Saccharomyces cerevisiae S288C: one gene and its partners. The gene in region 4 interacts genetically with the main gene of each other region. Each region holds a gene or a part of one and is shown on either strand. Other genes may lie near its edges. The genes, in order: TOF1, RAD18, MRC1 and RAD17.

Region 1 (5,932 bases), on a different chromosome or scaffold from region 4:
TATCACATTCTTTGCATTTTCAACGACCAGTTCTTCCATTTTCTTTCTTGTTTCTACACTATGTGTGCCCATATGAGGCAGTCCTAAGACTTGGGACATCGATAATAACTCTTTGGATATTTTTGGCTCATATTCGAAAACGTCCAAACCAGCACTTCTAATCTTTCCAGAACGCAAAGCATCAGTCATGGCTTGTTCGTCTATCACGGCACCACGCGCTGTGTTAACAATAACTACACCATCTTTCATTTTTTCAATAGTCTCTGCATTGATTAGATGGTGAGTATTGTGGTTCAGTGGGACGTTTACAGATACTATATCAGAACGCTTCAAAAACTCCTCGAATCCTACATATTCACAACCATGCTCTTCTTCGGAAGGAAGCTGGTGTCTGTTATGATATATGAAATTCTCGAACCCAAACGGCTTCAATCTCTCTAAAATACAACGACCAATCCTACCTAGACCCAGTATACCAACTGTTTTCCCTTCAGGGTCGTATCCAAAGGGAGAACCACATGCGGGTCCTGCCTCCGGCCAGTTTCCCTCGATCAACCTTCTGTTACCAATACCGAAGTTTCTTAGGGCACCCAATAGCAAAAATACATGCGTATCAGCGGTAGCATTGCTAACTAAATCAGGAACATTGGCAACCTGGATGTGCCTTTTCTTGAATGGCTCAACATCAATTTGGTCATAACCAGCACCAGTATGACATACAGCCACTACGGAGGAGGGCAAAGCAAGAGCAAGCTCTTCATCAAATCTACCGGTGTTTTTCACACTCCTTGCTGTTCTAGTAATGACTTGTACTTGGGAGAGCTTATTTTGTGGGTCTTTTACCTCCCGCAAAAACTGTTCTCTAGTGGTGGATTCAGGGATGGTAATTACATCCGCAATCTTTTCCAATTCCCCCCAGGCTTGGTCACCAAAGGCATCCTTTCCTAATTTCAAAACAATTGGTTTCTTACTCATATTCTCTTCTCCTCTTCTTGCTCGTTTATGTATTGTTAATACTTCGGTATTGTAGAGCAATAATCATGTAGAAGGATTTCCCTAACGTAACAACAAGGCCAATAGAATTTACTTTTTATATGCTCGAGATTAGTGAAAAATGGGATAAGATTGCCTTGTTATCCCCGCCCCCTGCCAAGACTTTTGCAGATTTTAAGTCCGCTCTCGGTCCTACGTAATAAATGCCTGGAGAAGCTCTAGAGCTAATTGCGTCGTCCTTCAGGAATTCTGAAGACCACAGCAACGCAATCAGATGGCGGAACCACATTATGAAGCCAAGTGAGGTGTATACAGAGTTATACGTACTTTTCATCCATCCCCGCTCGGTTTCACCGTTCATAACGCTGGTTTTCACTGCCACTTCTCATATCAAGTCAGCGAAATAACCAGTAGTTGTCCTGTATATAGGCATCCCTACCGTTTGCTTTAGGAAGCTGTTCTGTGTTACTATCACAACTGGGTAGTGCCCTGTATGAATTGCTTCCCTGTGGAAATGGCCCTTCCATTATGCTACTTTGACGCGTTTACTGCCGCATTACGCGTTTACGATGAAAAATTAAAATGAGTATTAAGGATTTTTCAAATGAGATATGGTTCGTAAGTCGCCTCACATATGATAATACCATCTAGCTTGTGGGGTTTAGTGTATCTTTAATATAGGAGGGCGCACACTATGTCTGCTGATTTGCAACAAGGCACTACAAATGCGGCTGATTTCTCTCTGACGGTACTTAGAGCAAGAATTGCTTTATTGGCAACTGCCATCGGTGGGCCGGATTATACTTCCCAGATAGACCCACCCCCTTATAAGCTTGGCGATGACTGTTTGGCGTGCTTAAAAGATCTGAAAAGATGGTTTAAACTAGTGGATGACCAGCAGAAAAGATGGGATGTGGCAATGGCAGTAGCTGAATATCGCATCTTGACGGATGATCTGTTACCTATTCTGATAGATTGGGAAAACAAATGTTCTCTTGCAGCAAAGCTTGCAAAGAACAACCCAGACCATGAAGAGTTTAGAAACAAAGCTTATTACGATAAAATTGCGCTAAATTGTCTACAACTATTGGTCCTTATGACTTGGCCTTTAATTGTAACTGAACAGTCTTCATCAAATCAAATTACTCTCTATGGTGAGCTAAAGAAGCATCAATTGGTATACAAGAAAACGATTCTGTCTATGGAAAGTGGTAAAGTGTTAAGAGCTGCCATTAGATTGGCTCTGGATGTTATCAAAATCGACCGATTATCAAGAACTCCTAGGGACAATATGGTTCTCAAATTGGTTTTGAATTTTTTCAGAAATGTCATTGCTATAGAACCCGGTGAATTTACTATCAATACTAAGAAAAGCATGCCTAAGAAAGGTATCACATCTATCGATACTTTGCCACCAAACGTCTCTATGGATGACATCTCTTTAAATACGGTTATTTCCTCATTCCATAAAAACAAGGTATTCGGTTTCCTCTTAACGCTGACCAGCTCCTTATCAAAAGAGTTTGACCAGGACTTTATCAATATCCCACTGTTGGAGATTATGTTCTACTTCACTAAAGATGTTAACCAAGAACTGCTATTCCCTCGACAGTTCGAAACCGGGACACATTCAAAGGTGGTAAATAAAAATGAGAGCTCCTCTGCTAATAACATTGTTACAAGTGCAGGTTTTGAACTATCGAAGTTATTACAAAAGGAACACCAAATGAGAAAAAACGTTATCAAGCATACATCTGCAAGACACTCCAGATTTGGTGGTCTTTTATCTATACAAACACCAGATAAAACTAGGTTAACTGTTTCTGGTAGCCAAGCTCTCGTAGATGAAAAAATAGCGCTCCAAAAACTAGATGACAGCAAAAAATGGAATAAAAGAATAATTAAAAAGCATCAATCTGTCGCAGCTGAGGGCTTACCGAATAGTCTCTTGAATTCACAAACCGGTAAAGCTATTTTTTTCACCGAATCAAATGGTAAACATTTCAAAGAATTCATCAACAACTTTATAGATTCCGGCTTTAACATCTTGTTGCATAGTGTGACGAACTACTTCACAACTGAGCAGGATAGGATGGTAACTTTGGAGCAAGTCGAATATTTACTTTTCTTTGCATGGTTTGTTAAATACCAGTTGTTGAGGTCCAAAATCGACAATTCCGCAGATATAAAGCAAGTTTCAGAAGCCTTGAAAGAGGTGACTTTCATTCTAGTGTCTTCTCTTTTAAGAAGCGCATATGACCTGAAAAATTGGACAGTGACACATGCTGGTATGATTGCATTTAATGAACTGTTGAACCTCGTTTCCCGTACAAAGGCCGCTCAAGAAGAGGATTCGACCGATATAGAATTCATTGTAAGTAGGCTTTTCAGTGACGAGAGAATACAATTACTGTCAAATCTGCCGAAGATTGGTTCCAAATACTCCCTCCAATTCATGAAAAGTTGCATTGAACTAACACACTCGGTATTGAAAGTATTAGAGCAATACTCTGACGATAAAACATTAGTTATTGAAGGCAAATCAAGACGGCAAAAAAAGTTTAATATTTCAGAAGGTGATATTACTAAATTGATAGAAGAAGAAAATGTAGATAGAGATGAAGCGCTTGATATTCTAACCTCTTCTTTAAGAAGTATAGAAGTCAATTTTCAAAAGGTGCAAGCCAACTATATGACAGAACCGGTAATAGAAACGTACATTAATTTCCTTGAAAGATTTCGTGAGCTTGAGGACGATTCCATTAAAAAAGTATTTTCCTTTTTCCATAGAGTATTTGTTCAGGCAAAAGAACAGGCATTGTTATTTAGATTTGATTTGATAATATTATTAAGAGAAATGCTTTCACCTGACGGATTAGATAGAATGTCTCGTTCAAGGAAATATGTGAGTCAATTTTCAGACTACTTCCTCGCCAGGTTGAAGAAAAGGTTAAAGAAATCACCTGCTTGGTTTGTTGGATTACTTTTCCCGCCATTACACAATAGTGAAGTAGGATTTTACCAAAGATATGGTGAATATAATGTACTTAATAATGAATCAATGTATGCCGCTCCTGCATCACAGTTCAAACCAATTCCCGATGAAGAAGCCTTACCACCTTCGATTTTGTTGGATATGAAATATGGTGTTTTAGTTTCCACATTACTTGATGATGGAAAAACTGAACTATTGGACCAACTGCTCAAGCATATAACCCACACACTAGATATTTTTAAGTCGTGGCTAACCGTAAATGTTAATGCTGGGAAAGAAACAGTTAATCCACCCAATGAATATTTCACATTGACAGGTGTACTCAACAACGACCCTATTTTTAAAGATAAGGACTACAGGGCTTTATTGTTGCTGATAGGATACTCCATTCCACGTAAAATCAATGAACCTTGTTTTTTACCGGGGACTGTTGAAGTTTCTGACCTGACTGTTTCTTGTGAACTAGTGAAAAAATACTTATCAACACCATTTGAAACTCCAAACGGACTGCCTTCTTCTTCCTATCTTCTACGAGTTCGTTCAGAAAAGGATAGTTTTTCTCACAATGAACAAGATGGATGGGAAGGAGACGATGATTATGATTACAACGATCCCTACATTGTTCCAGATGATCAAATTTTATCGAAAAGCGACGCAGCATACTTCAAGGATTTAGATAACAATGCATCAGATAAACTTAAAGGTACCAAATTCAGTAAAGGGATTGCGAGATCCAAAAAAAAAGATAAGAGGAAGCGTAGGAAAGGAGAAGCCAAGACTAATTTGCCAATGTTTGGCGACCAGGATGATGAACGACCTCAGACCGTTAGAGAACGCCATGGCGTATTCAGTAAAGAGTTTATTAGTGATTCAGAAGATGACGAGGATTTGATGAACCCTATATTTTTTGAAAACGAAACATATATGAGATGGTTACTAGATAAAAACAATGGTCAGTTGACCGAGGATAGATATATCCAGTTTGCCAAATTTGCCGCGGAAAGGATGAATAATGGGGGTGTTGTGACAGGAGATTATACGAGCTTGTTTGGTGGATCCATACCAAGTATTGAAAGCATAAGAGCTACAGAAAGTAGTTCCTTTGCGCCAGATAAAAGCCTCATTTCTTTAGCAAGCCACGTGGCATCTGAAATGTCTATTTTCGATGTAAATAATAACAATAATAATCAACTCTCTGATGACGATGTCAACTCGGAATCAAGAAATAGTTTGGGCTCATCACAGCCATCAAATTCGCAAAATATGTTCCAATCTGAGGTGTATAGCAGAAAAGAATCTACAAAGCGTTCTTTGGAAGCGAGTGCAGCCGATGAAAGCGATGAAGATGAAGAGGCCATCCGCCTTTTTGGCAAAAAGTCTAGAGTTGTTTTGAGCCAAGGTGATAGTGATGATTGAGAATGAATATGTAGTAATTAATCCCTTTAATACGTGTAATTTTAGAACCACTTCTTTACTCTGTTTTTAAGTTCAAAGTATTGACATAATATTAAAACAATACATGCGATTCATTCTTTATCATTACCTATATTTTTCTAAGTTGTTGAACATCTTAAGGAACTCAAATGTCCATTAGGACACATAAAATTAAATATTATATAATTTATTGCTGTTCCTGGGCATCATCGAAATTGTCATCATTGCTTGAAGACGCATGCAATCCGCTACTAGGACTATTTTCCCCTATTTGTTCTTGGGTTTTGTCGCCTATCGTCAAGTTTGTCTTTAAAGTTTTTTCATTATTATCCTTCTTAGAGTTCTCGTCTCCAGAAGATGCCCTCTTCGAGGATATATTTTGTTTTACATTAGACTCAGCGTTTTCAAATTCAGTCTGATCAATTGCGCTTTCTTCTCTAAATTGCTCTTCTAAATCATCCAAATCTTGGAGTAACTTCTTCTTTTGTATCTTGCGTTGAGGAGCCTTTT
Region 2 (3,893 bases), on a different chromosome or scaffold from region 4:
ACTCGCCAAGAAACCTCCATATTCGTATGCAACTTTGATTTGCTTGGCCATTTTGCAATCTCAGGAGGGAAAGCTAACGCTATCCCAGATATATCATTGGATCCACGTTCACTTCCCTTATTACAAGCAGAAAGATGCTAGTTGGCAAAATTCAATAAGACATAACTTGTCTTTAAATGATGCGTTCATCAAGACTGAAAAGTCCTGCGATGGTAAGGGTCATTTCTGGGAGGTCAGACCGGGTGCCGAAACAAAATTTTTCAAAGGTGAAAATCGTGGTTATGAATTTGTAAAGGACTCCTTACAAGACATTGGGAAGTATTTTGAAATAGATTCTACACTTGATGAATTAGAACAAGTTGAGAGTGGAGAAGGCAATGATGATCTTCCTGACGAGGAAGAAAGAGAGGAAGCAGGGAAATTCCCTTCCATTGAAATTCAATTGAACTCCTCCCCTATACTGAGAGTTTCCCAGTTACATCACATACCGCAATTGAAAACAGACAACAGTGTACTGAACCCTCACGAAAACCTAGAATCGATGCGGAACATGATAGAAAACGATGTCAACAATATAGATTCCTTGGAACCTCCTTATGTCATGAAGAAATATCATACTTCTTTAGGCTTACCGTCGCTGGTGAATGCCAAAGATCATTTCCAGGCGGGTGTGAAAAACAATAATATCACCCAGGCAAATAGATTTAATACACTCCCTATAACTAGCGCAAAGTCTCCTCAGAATTTCAGAAAATATTTCACCTCATTCAATTCAAATTTTGAAGATTTATCTCCACTTCGAAGTAATGTAGGGGCTGGTTCTCTACTCGACCCACTTCCGTATTCCCCATTGAAGCTGTACGATCAGAAAAATCTTGCGCTCATGTCGAAACCACAATCTCAGCAATCATATTCCAATTCTCAACTTCCACCTCCACCTTCCTCTCATGGTTCGGACTTACTTAAAACACCCAAGATGAGGCATTCCGATGGCTTAGAGAAAACCCCATCGCGGTTGATAAGCACACCTAAGGACGGTAACTCGATTTTGAGGAAATGGCAGACTCCTTCACACCTTTTTGAAGATTTGTACTGTTCTCCGCTATTTAGAGCTATAGAGACTCCAATCAGGTATATCACGACGCCGGGGGGCACTTTGGAAACCCAAATTTCACCAAGAAAGTCCTCTGCACCCGATGTCCTCACAAGCGCAACGAATTCCAAATTTGCTTCAAGCGGGCTGTTTGGCGTGGATGTTTATTCTGTTTGGAAGCGCGCAACTGAAAAGATTTCTGATGGTAACAATACTACGGATAGCAATCAAAAACATCATCCTTATCATAATCACCCTTCCAACGATAGCGGTAATGAAAAGAATTGACTTTTTTTTTTTTTTTTTTTCATTTTCTTTTCCTCACCGAAAACTAATTATTCTTAATCTGATGGATTCATCGCAAACGGTTGGATGAGTCCTAAACTGGGCTGGAGTTATCATATCACATAGCATTTTCTTTTTAATCTTATTGTATTGTCGGGTCAACTAACTTCTTTTCCCGCTCTTCTATGGTATAATCAATTGCAGAAGAGGCAGGAAAAAATTGTAATCATAACAAAAATGATACAAATTTTTTTTCTAAGTTTTATATTTTACATATCTTTATTTTTGATCCTTACGGATTTTTAATACAGTATTTAGCTGAAGTTTCCATTCACTTCACTTACCTTTTTGATCTCTTTTATTTTTACTTGCCCCGTTGCCTTGCATTTTTCAATAGAAAGTGAAAAACTAAGTACCACTTGAGCAATGCCACATTAGAAGAAAAACCATCCGCAAGTGAGCATCACAGCTACTAAGAAAAGGCCATTTTTACTACTCATGGACCACCAAATAACCACTGCAAGCGACTTCACGACTACTTCAATACCGAGCCTGTACCAATTGGATACACTTTTGAGATGTCACATTTGTAAAGATTTTCTAAAAGTCCCCGTCTTAACACCTTGTGGCCATACATTTTGTTCCCTTTGTATTAGAACACATTTGAATAACCAACCAAATTGTCCTCTCTGCCTTTTCGAGTTCAGAGAGTCCTTGCTGAGAAGTGAGTTCCTGGTCAGTGAAATAATTCAAAGTTATACATCCCTACGATCTTCCTTACTAGATGCACTAAGGATACCGAAGCCTACCCCTGTCCCTGAGAATGAGGAAGTACCAGGTCCTGAAAATTCTTCATGGATAGAACTCATATCAGAGTCTGAAAGTGACAGTGTAAATGCCGCTGATGATGACTTGCAAATTGTTGCAACAAGTGAAAGAAAACTTGCCAAAAGATCCATGACTGATATATTACCACTGAGTTCCAAACCATCCAAAAGGAATTTTGCAATGTTCAGAAGTGAACGTATCAAGAAAAAATCAAAGCCAAATGAACAAATGGCCCAGTGCCCCATATGTCAACAATTTTATCCTCTTAAAGCCCTTGAAAAAACACATTTGGATGAATGCCTAACTTTACAATCACTAGGCAAAAAACCAAAAATTTCTACCACTTTCCCTACAGAGTCAAATCCACATAACAAAAGTTCATCCAGATTCAAGGTACGAACTCCAGAAGTCGACAAAAGCTCATGTGGTGAGACCTCACATGTGGATAAGTATTTAAACTCAATGATGAGTGCAGAACACCAAAGATTGCCGAAGATCAATTTTACGTCTATGACTCAATCCCAAATAAAACAAAAACTGTCATCGTTGGGACTGTCAACTAATGGTACTAGGCAAAACATGATTAAAAGATACAATCACTACGAAATGCTTTGGAATTCTAATTTTTGTGATTCTCTAGAACCTGTTGATGAAGCTGAACTAAAAAGACAGTTGTTAAGCTGGGATGTTTCACACAATAAAACCCCCCAAAATAGTAGCAACAAGGGTGGAATTTCTAAATTAATGATAATGAAGAGTAATGGGAAATCTTCTTCATATAGGAAATTACTTGAAAATTTCAAAAACGATAAATTTAATAGGAAAGGATGGATGGTTATGTTTCGGAAGGATTTTGCTAGGCTTATCAGGGAAGCAAAAATGAAAATAAAAACAGGTTCATCGGACAGTTCAGGTTCAGTGGGACATTCTAATGATGGAGATGGTGTTGAAAAAGTTCAAAGTGACCAGGGAACCGAGGATCAGCAAATGGAGAAGGATCAGGACACTGTTATCAACGAAGATAGAGTTGCTGGTGAAAGAAATTTGCCTAACGAAGATTCAACTGATGCTGACTTATCAAGAGAATTAATGGACTTGAATGAATATAGTAAAGACCCACCCGGTAACAATTAAGGTGTGTATATGTAATCAGGCCTGTTTGTTAGCTTGTGCACATTTGTTAATTAATAATTTATTTAAAAATGGGCAAAATATAAATGCATAAAAGATGACATAGAGATATGTGCACAAAGCTATGTAATCATATTTAACATTAATATATATTATTTCGTTATTCACAATTCGTCATGAAGGCCAGCGTAGTTTACGGTTCCTGCTACTGCATTATCATCGTTGACAATGTTTGTATTCGAATTATTATTCAAAGGTGCTGCAATTGTTTGCGGAGGGGCCACTGGATTAGGCAAAGAAGTGATCTCCACGTTAAGTGCTGAAATAACTTCACTAGATAGAGAGACGTCTTCGGTAACATCTACCGTACCAGATGCCTGCATTTCCGTCGTAAGCATTCGGGAAACAGGAGTATTTACATTTTCGCTGATTTTGTGGCGTACCCCAAACGCTTCAGATGAATCTTTTGATGACTGTACTTCTATCATTATTTCTTTCTGTACAAATCCTGATGCATCAATTGAACTAGCAGATATTTTGTGAGGGCTACTTACAA
Region 3 (5,541 bases), on a different chromosome or scaffold from region 4:
TTCAAAGTAGTCTCAGCTTTCAGTTTAGCTGGCTCTTGTGTACTTGCCTCCCGCAGCAGCGTCGGTATCATTGTTTCACTACTTTTGTTTAACTTTTCCACTTGTAACTTTGTTCTCTTCCTTTCAGCGGTGCTGATCGACCTCTTTTTTTGTACTTTCTTGCCAACACCAACATTCTTGCCCACACCTTTCTTTTTCATGCTACACTTGCCCATTTTTTCCTTGCTAAATGCCCTTGAGTTATTGTACCTTATTATAGCAGGCTTGCACATCTGAAAACGAAAATTTTTTTTTCCTTATATTTCTAATTCTTTTAGCGATGAGATATGAAAATTTTCAAAAAAAAGAGATGATGAGGTTAACTATTGTAAAGTAGACAGCAAACAAAAGGGTCACACAAATATCCAAATTGGCAAACGATGGTGTCTACACATAACAGAGATAAACCTTGGGATACGGATGATATTGATAAATGGAAGATAGAGGAGTTTAAGGAAGAGGATAACGCATCCGGTCAACCTTTTGCTGAAGAGTCCAGTTTTATGACTTTGTTTCCTAAATACAGAGAAAGTTACTTGAAGACGATTTGGAATGATGTAACAAGGGCTCTAGACAAACACAACATAGCGTGTGTTCTAGATTTAGTCGAAGGTTCTATGACAGTAAAAACAACTAGAAAAACATACGATCCCGCTATCATTTTGAAAGCCAGAGATTTGATCAAATTATTGGCGAGATCCGTTCCTTTCCCGCAAGCCGTTAAGATCCTACAAGATGACATGGCATGCGACGTTATTAAAATTGGTAATTTCGTTACTAACAAAGAAAGGTTTGTCAAGAGAAGACAACGTCTTGTAGGCCCTAACGGTAATACTTTAAAGGCTTTGGAACTTCTAACTAAATGTTACATTCTAGTACAAGGTAACACAGTAAGTGCCATGGGTCCCTTCAAGGGCTTGAAGGAGGTCCGTCGAGTAGTAGAAGATTGTATGAAAAATATTCACCCTATCTATCATATCAAGGAATTAATGATAAAAAGAGAATTGGCAAAAAGGCCAGAGTTAGCCAATGAAGATTGGTCAAGATTCTTGCCCATGTTTAAGAAGAGGAATGTGGCCAGAAAGAAACCCAAGAAGATCAGAAACGTCGAAAAGAAGGTCTATACTCCATTTCCTCCTGCCCAATTGCCTAGAAAGGTTGATTTGGAAATTGAAAGTGGTGAGTATTTCTTAAGCAAGAGAGAAAAGCAAATGAAGAAATTAAATGAGCAAAAGGAAAAGCAAATGGAAAGAGAAATCGAAAGGCAGGAAGAGAGAGCAAAAGATTTCATAGCTCCGGAAGAAGAAGCATACAAGCCAAACCAAAATTAGTTTACACCGCTACGGAATCCTTCATATATGTCTATATATATATAGAAACACACACACATTTCGTTTACTTAGATATGTTTGTAAAGTGAAAGAAATTCTTACTAGGACACCAACTCTACTGGCTCTCATATGCAGAGAGATATACATCAATACTTGAAATTTTCCTTATCCTTCTTCGACGCGTCATGAAGAGATAGAATGCGTAAAACGCGTTTGCTTCAATAGCATTTCAAACACATTATGTTGGAAAAAAACCAAGAACAGACAAACAACTAAGGAAGTTCGTTATTCGCTTTTGAACTTATCACCAAATATTTTAGTGATGGATGATGCCTTGCATGCTTTGTCCTCGTTGACTGCAAAGAAGAGAACTACCACCTACAAAAAAGTTGCTGTTCCCATACTAGATGAGAACGATAATACTAATGGAAATGGGCCCAATGACATAGACAATCCGCCAGAGTTGACTGGGAACGGGTTTTTATTTGCCAATGCCACATTAAATCGTGTTAAGAACAGATTAGAAGGCAAGAAAGCACCCGAACAGAATCACAATAATGGAAAAGATAGGAGTGAGAATTCGTTACCAACTCAATTAATCTCTAATCTTTACGATGGTGGTGAAGAGCTGGAGAAATCCGAAGTTAAAGATAATAGTTACAGTGAGAAAAATGTCTCTTCTTCATTCACGCAGACGCAAAGAATACCTGTCAGCATCCAACAAGACAAGGTGTTTAACGTACCTATCCATTCCGTTAATGACGGGAAACCCACCCAATTAATCAAAGAAGATGGTCTCGTCAACGAAACTTCTCAAGCGCTGAAAACACCTCTCACGACAGGACGGCCAGGGGCTACACAGCGTATAGATAGCAGCGGTGCAACCTCACAAACTCAGCCTATAAAATCAATTGAACCACAATCCCAAATAATTACGACTTCCAGCAATCATTCTAATGCTCTGTCGCCGAAAATTCCTATAATTCCAACGGAACTTATTGGAACTAGTCCTTTATTTCAGTCCATTCAAAATCGTGGTCCTGACACCCAAATGGATGTACCACCACAGACTGCGCATGATGAGGATAAGACACAAGCAATTGGTATTCCACAGGCTACGCATCAGGAACAGAAAACCCAAATAGATACAGTCGCACAAACACTTCAAGATGAAGTACCACACACATTAAAAATTCGGGAAATACAAAGCGAATTGGCTTCAGAAGATTCTAAAAGGGAAAAAGCTAGAAATGTCGAATACAAAAAACCGCAAAAGCCAATACCAACCAAAAAATTTTTTTCTAAAGAGTCTTTTCTTGCTGATTTTGACGATTCGTCCTCAAATGAGGACGATGATATAAAGCTGGAAAATGCACATCCAAAACCAGTACAGAATGACGATGAACTGCATGAGAACAAAAGTGTTGAATTAAATCTAACTGATGAGACAAGAATAAATGAGAAAAGGGTTCCACTATTGAGCTCCTATGCTAATAATTTGAAACGGGAAATTGACTCCTCGAAATGCATAACACTGGACCTCGACAGCGACAGTGACGAATATGGAGATGATGATATGGATAGCATTAAATTATCCAAAGATGAAAGCGTTTTGCCAATCTCTCAGTTATCAAAGGCGACTATATTAAACCTGAAGGCAAGACTCTCTAAACAAAATCAAAAGTTGTCTCAAAGGCCGAATAAAAGTAAAGACCCAAAAGTTGATCATAATGTACTATTAAATACCTTAAGGAAAGCTAGCAGGAAACAAATTCTGGATCATCAGAAAGAAGTGATTGAAACGAAAGGTCTGAAGCTGGAGGATATGGCCAAAGAAAAGGAAATAGTAGAGAACTTGCTAGAACAAGAAATTCTTAGAAATAAAAGAATCAGACAAAAAGAGAAGAGAAGGGAAAAACTTGAAGAAAATGACTTTCAATTGAACGCCCATGATTCCGGTTCTGACTCAGGGTCAGAGTCTTCTGGATTTGCATTGAGTGGTAATGAAATTGCCGATTATGAATCATCTGGTAGTGAAAATGACAATCGTAGAGAATCCGATAGTGAAAAGGAAGATGATGAAATTATTCTAAAGCAAAAAAAATCCCACCACGTGAAACATATCATTAACGAATCAGACTCTGATACCGAAGTCGAAGCCAAACCCAAAGAGAAAGCTGATGAAAGTCTACCGAAAAGGATCGCCATTAATCTGGGCCATTACGGTGATAATATCGGAGAGGATACCGACAAATTTCAAGAAACCAATGTTCTAGATACACAAAACATTGAAGAGGTGATGGCCGAAAGAAATACAATCGAAAATGAAGTCAAAGATGATGTATACGTCAATGAAGAAGCTGATGAAGCAATTCGCCGTCAGCTGATTGACAAAGAGAAATTGCAACTAAAACAGAAAGAAAAGGAGCACGAGGCTAAGATAAAAGAGTTGAAGAAAAGAGGTGTCACAAACTTCTTTGAAATGGAAGCCGAAGAATCCGAGGATGAATGGCATGGTATCGGTGGTGCAGATGGAGAAGGATCTGACGACTATGATTCTGACCTAGAAAAAATGATCGATGATTATTCCAAGAACAATTTCAATCCTCATGAAATCAGAGAAATGCTTGCCGCAGAAAATAAGGAAATGGATATCAAAATGATAAACAAAATTCTTTATGACATTAAAAATGGAGGATTTCGTAATAAAAGAGCAAAAAATAGCTTAGAGCTAGAACTAAGTGATGATGATGAAGACGACGTACTACAACAATATCGTCTCAAAAGGAGAGAATTGATGAGAAAAAGGAGATTAGAAATTGGCGATGATGCAAAGCTTGTTAAAAACCCAAAGTCGAGCGCATTTTTTGAAAGTATGGTGGAAGATATTATCGAATATAAAAACCCCTTCGGGGCTGAAGAGGAATATAACCTAGACATTACAAGTACGGCTACTGACCTAGATACTCAGGACAATAGCATTAATGTAGGTGATAATACGGGAAATAATGAACAGAAACCTGTAGATCAAAAGAACAAAAAGGTTATCATATCTGAAGACTTTGTGCAGAAAAGCTTATCCTTCCTAAAAAGTAATAATTATGAGGATTTTGAAACGGATAAGGAGCTATCAAGGATACAACATGGCAATGATGAAGCAATTGAAGATTTATATACCCTAAAACAGAATAGTTCGATAAAGTCATTCACAAATTCTCAAACTGATTCGACCACTTCAAAAACAGTAAACACAATAATTGACTTAGAAAAGCGCCCAGAGGATGAAGATGAGGTGGAAAATGGAGATACATCACTAGTTGGCGTTTTCAAACATCCATCAATAATCAAATCCTTTGCGTCCAGAACAGACATAAATGATAAGTTTAAAGAAGGTAACAAGACAGTCAAGATTCTAAAGTCTTACAAGACAGTGGGGAGTTCAAAAGCTTCTATCACATATATGGGGAAAACGAGAAAATTAATAGCACCAAAGAGGAAAACTGAAGGGAGCCACCGCTACCACCATGACCATCATAATAAAAAAATGAAAATGAAAACGAAAACAAAATCGAATAAACTTTTTGAAAGCGGACAAGATAGCTTTGATAATTAGTGGTTTTTTATCTTTTCCGAAGAAGTTGATTGAACTCCAGAAGCTGTCTTGAAGTAGTCGCATTAAAAAAGATGGCACCCGAGTCTAGGCCAAGCCATAGTCATGTTATGATAGGATTTTATAAGACAAATATTATAAAGAAGTTTAATAATAATACAAAAAGATACAAAAAAACTTGAAGATATTCTGAATAAAAAAAAAAAGAATAAACATTTGGAGCAAAAGAAGAGTAGGTTAGGTAAAGGAGGCATTAATTAAAACAGCAGTTCTGTATTCAAAGCATCTTGCAATTCTTCTATAGAGACGCTTATATCCATATTATTTTTTTGTTCCTGTGCTACATTATGATTTGATATTCGTTCTTCATTCATGCCCTTATTCTTTCTCCCCCTCTTACTTTGAAAAGATTCTGATATTGTGCTTAACGATGAATTAAACTTATCCATAAAAGATGCATGCTTAAGATTTGTGTTGTTCTCTTTTACCGTATGTGTATCTGATCGTGCAATGAATGATGATAACAACGCCTTAGAACTTGAAATACGAGGACCATTACGA
Region 4 (3,430 bases):
ATAATAAATTATCTTGGATTCCACATAGATCAAAAACTTTGGTATAAACATTGAGACCATATGCAATCAATTCTGCCTTGATGGTTATGTTTTCGCTCATAATTGTTTGTGCTTCAACATTAAAGAATAGAGTATTATTTCTCGGGAAAAAAGCAGCTTCGAAATACGATGCAGAAAACTGTGAGTCTTTAGCACAAGTCAACAGAGCCGAAGTCCTTAGATATTCTTTAGTATATGCATCAAATGGTACTGGGAATAGAGTCGATGCGTTGTTCAGTAGTGTAAAAGAGTTAGAAACCTGGAAAGTAGAGCTGTTAATGGAAATAGCGTGTATTTGTCGGAAGATTGCTAGCAAAACAAAAATCCGAGATAAAGAGAAGACTTTAATGGGAAGCATACTTATTCTCTTTACATCTATAAATCAGAGAGGTTAAATATTATTTAAAATAGCATTACGACTTTGCTTCATCATCCTTCCAAAATATTGACACTGCATCATTTTTTAAATGTGTCAGTAATTCGGGCACAAAAATATAAATGGACCGCCATGAACTAAAGCTGTCGTCGATATGGATCGCTCCATAGCAGCATTATAAAAATTAAAAATGCATCAATACCATGCTACAGTAATAACAAAATACAGCATGGATTACCACTACATATTCATCATGTCATGCATTATAGTTGTAACATATGCTGAACACCCATTCATCACGTGTAATTGGACATCCGTGGAGTTCCAAAAGGAGTATAAACGCAAATAGTAAAGCTAAGATATAAGTAGTGTCTAAGTAAATGACTTCTTTGTAAGCGTACAGCTAAAGTTTACCGATGAGTTACGATAAGAAGGCAGATGTCACATCCTTAGATGAAGATTTGAGACAACTAAGAGAAAGCAAATTTTCACCGGAAGCAATTCAAAATATCAAAATATGGGTATATAAATCTGTCCTAAAAGAGATAGCTCCTCCTGGAGACTTATTGGAATGCTTGAAAGATGGAACAGTCCTATGTAAGCTGGCAAATATTTTATATGAAGCAGACACAGGAGAAGCTAACCATATTAGTTGGAAGAGCTCTAAAATGCCATTTGTTCAAATGGATCAAATTTCCCAATTTTTATCATTTTCGAGAAAATATGGTGTGCCTGAAGATGAACTGTTTCAGACAATTGATCTTTTTGAGAAAAAGGATCCTGCCATTGTTTTCCAAACGTTGAAGTCACTATCTCGTTACGCCAACAAAAAACATACAGATAGATTTCCAGTTCTAGGACCACAACTGTCAACAAAGAAGCCAAGACCCCCGGTTAAGTCTAAACCAAAACATCTACAAGATGGTACTGGATGGAGCACTTTTGAATACGGTTATATGAAAGGTGCATCTCAGGCTACTGAAGGAGTGGTGTTAGGACAACGGAGAGATATAGTTTAGAGAATTATTATTAACACTTTCTCTGGCAGAAATTGATAAATAAACATTTAAGAACCCTATATACGCAACCAAAGTTCCTTTGATATATTTTAGTTTTCCATCAAAGTTTTCCTACATAAACACTAAGGTGGCTAGAGACGCGTAACAAAAGTTAACGTTACCGGTAAAAATGTGATTATACAAATCAATCTCACAGAACGGTGTGGAAACAAAGTAGTTGAAGGATTTCAACTATGCGAATCAACAGTGAGCTAGCGAACAAGTTTTCTGCCTCAACGGTGCACTTAGAACATATCACAACTGCTTTAAGTTGTTTAACACCTTTTGGTTCTAAAGACGATGTGCTTATATTCATTGATGCTGATGGGCTGTCATTTGTCAGGGAGAATAATCATGTGATAAAAATCCAACTACTGTTATCTCGGGAGCTATTTATGTCTTATTCGTATAGAAATGAAACTGAGGATCACATGAAACTTTGTGTAAAAATAAATCATATCTTAGATAGCGTTAGCGTGATGAACAGGAATTCGGATGACATTGTTGAGTGTACTTTATCTTATGATGGACATGGATCACCATTTGTACTAATATTTGAAGACTCGTTCATTTCTGAGAGAGTGGAGTACTCTACCTACTTAATTAAGGATTTTGATACTAATGGACTAGAACTCGATAGAGAAAGGATAAGCTTTGAGGCAATTATTAAGGGCGAAGCCCTTCATTCAGCCTTAAAGGATCTAAAAGAAATCGGATGCAAAGAGTGCTATGTATATGCAAAGACCGAGGCGAATGATGAGAATGTATTTGCCCTGATATCTAAATCTCAGCTAGGATTTTCTAAAATAAAATTACCCAGTAACAGATCCATACTAGAGAAGTTACAAGTATTTGACGGAGATTCCACAACAGTAATAGATGGTTTTGCTGTAATTGGGTTCTTCGATTTCACCTCGTTTGATAAAATCAGAAAGAGTACTAAAATTGCAAGCAAAGTCCTTTTCAGGATGGATGTTCATGGCGTATTGAGTGTAAATATTCTAAGTCAAACAGACGATGTCATTATCACTGATACTACAAGACCTTCAAATAATCGACCAGGTAGTATTCGCCAACTGCAGCTACCCAAGGATTATCCCGGTATAGTAATTGAGGTTTGCATGCTAGAAAAAGAATCCATAGATGAGGCAGCACAGACAGAAATAGAACTCCTGATGGAGACTAATGAACTTGGCAATCGTAATAGTTTTAAAAAATCAACTATAAGAAAAAGATATGGTACAGATAAAGGCAATGAAACTTCAAATGACAACTTGCTGCAATTGAATGGGAAAAAAATTAAACTACCATCTGAAGAAGAAAACAATAAAAACAGGGAAAGTGAGGATGAAGAGAATCACTGCAAGTATCCAACAAAGGATATTCCTATATTTTTTTAAGTCAATATCCAGCATCGCAGAAAACGCAGAACTTCATTCAGCATTTGGTAATTTTATAACATATAACTTACAATTAAATAAAAGTTTAACTATATATTATTATGTGATCTAACTCTAGAAAAAGTACTAATGAACATCACACCGTTTATTGTTGGGAGAAGTGTTCCATGATCATGGACAATTCATCAGTTTCAGCACCCCAGTTCTTGACAACAACAACGGAGGCACCGACAACCTTTCTGGCGTTACCTTCACGGTCGATCTTACCCAAACCAGCCCATTCACCTAATTGCTTAGCATCAGCAACCTTGATCAATGGAACCTTGTTTTCTGGGTCGTTAGCCAAACCTTCAACCAACTTGATAATGTTAGCTTCAGTAACAGAGCTGACCAAAACAACCAATAAAGCTTCACCTCTGGTTAAAGCCTTGGTAGATTCTCTCAAACCTCTAGCTAGACCATCGTGAACCAAAGCGGTTCTCAAAACAACCTTCAAAGCATCTTCGATAGTAACTTCGGCAGTTTGTTCAACAACAGTTTCTTCTTGAACTTCAACG

What was found.
Region 1: mutations in RAD17 (region 4) and TOF1 together harm fitness more than expected from each alone (negative genetic interaction), as found in Saccharomyces cerevisiae (6 studies listed by BioGRID, with this or other methods).
Region 2: mutations in RAD17 (region 4) and RAD18 together harm fitness more than expected from each alone (negative genetic interaction), as found in Saccharomyces cerevisiae (5 studies listed by BioGRID, with this or other methods).
Region 3: mutations in RAD17 (region 4) and MRC1 together harm fitness more than expected from each alone (negative genetic interaction), as found in Saccharomyces cerevisiae (8 studies listed by BioGRID, with this or other methods).

Annotation. Positions count from the first base shown.
Region 1 is NC_001146.8:121,196-127,127, forward strand, and holds TOF1 (Tof1p), read left to right. Parts: upstream 1-1,687; coding exon 1,688-5,404; downstream 5,405-5,932. Other genes in the region: GOR1 (glyoxylate reductase), read right to left, coding at 1-975; guanine nucleotide exchange factor SEC2, read right to left, coding at 5,610-5,932. UniProt on the Saccharomyces cerevisiae protein: Forms a fork protection complex (FPC) with CSM3 and which is required for chromosome segregation during meiosis and DNA damage repair. FPC coordinates leading and lagging strand synthesis and moves with the replication fork.
Region 2 is NC_001135.5:229,624-233,516, forward strand, and holds RAD18 (E3 ubiquitin-protein ligase RAD18), read left to right. Parts: upstream 1-1,876; coding exon 1,877-3,340; downstream 3,341-3,893. Other genes in the region: HCM1 (Hcm1p), read left to right, coding at 1-1,381; GTPase-activating protein SED4, read right to left, coding at 3,502-3,893. UniProt on the Saccharomyces cerevisiae protein: E3 RING-finger protein, member of the UBC2/RAD6 epistasis group. Associates to the E2 ubiquitin conjugating enzyme UBC2/RAD6 to form the UBC2-RAD18 ubiquitin ligase complex involved in postreplicative repair (PRR) of damaged DNA.
Region 3 is NC_001135.5:18,258-23,798, reverse strand, and holds MRC1 (chromatin-modulating protein MRC1), read left to right. Parts: upstream 1-1,692; coding exon 1,693-4,983; downstream 4,984-5,541. Other genes in the region: ADF1 (Adf1p), read right to left, coding at 1-215; FYV5 (Fyv5p), read left to right, coding at 1-276; ribosome biosynthesis protein KRR1, read left to right, coding at 420-1,370; VAC17 (Vac17p), read right to left, coding at 5,238-5,541. UniProt on the Saccharomyces cerevisiae protein: Required for normal DNA replication. Phosphorylated in response to DNA replication stress. Phosphorylation allows it to mediate the activation of RAD53.
Region 4 is NC_001147.6:1,025,176-1,028,605, forward strand, and holds RAD17 (Rad17p), read left to right. Parts: upstream 1-1,667; coding exon 1,668-2,873; downstream 2,874-3,430. Other genes in the region: YOR365C (putative flavin adenine dinucleotide transporter), read right to left, coding at 1-397; SCP1 (Scp1p), read left to right, coding at 832-1,434; 40S ribosomal protein eS12 RPS12, read right to left, coding at 3,019-3,430. UniProt on the Saccharomyces cerevisiae protein: Component of the checkpoint clamp complex involved in the surveillance mechanism that allows the DNA repair pathways to act to restore the integrity of the DNA prior to DNA synthesis or separation of the replicated chromosomes.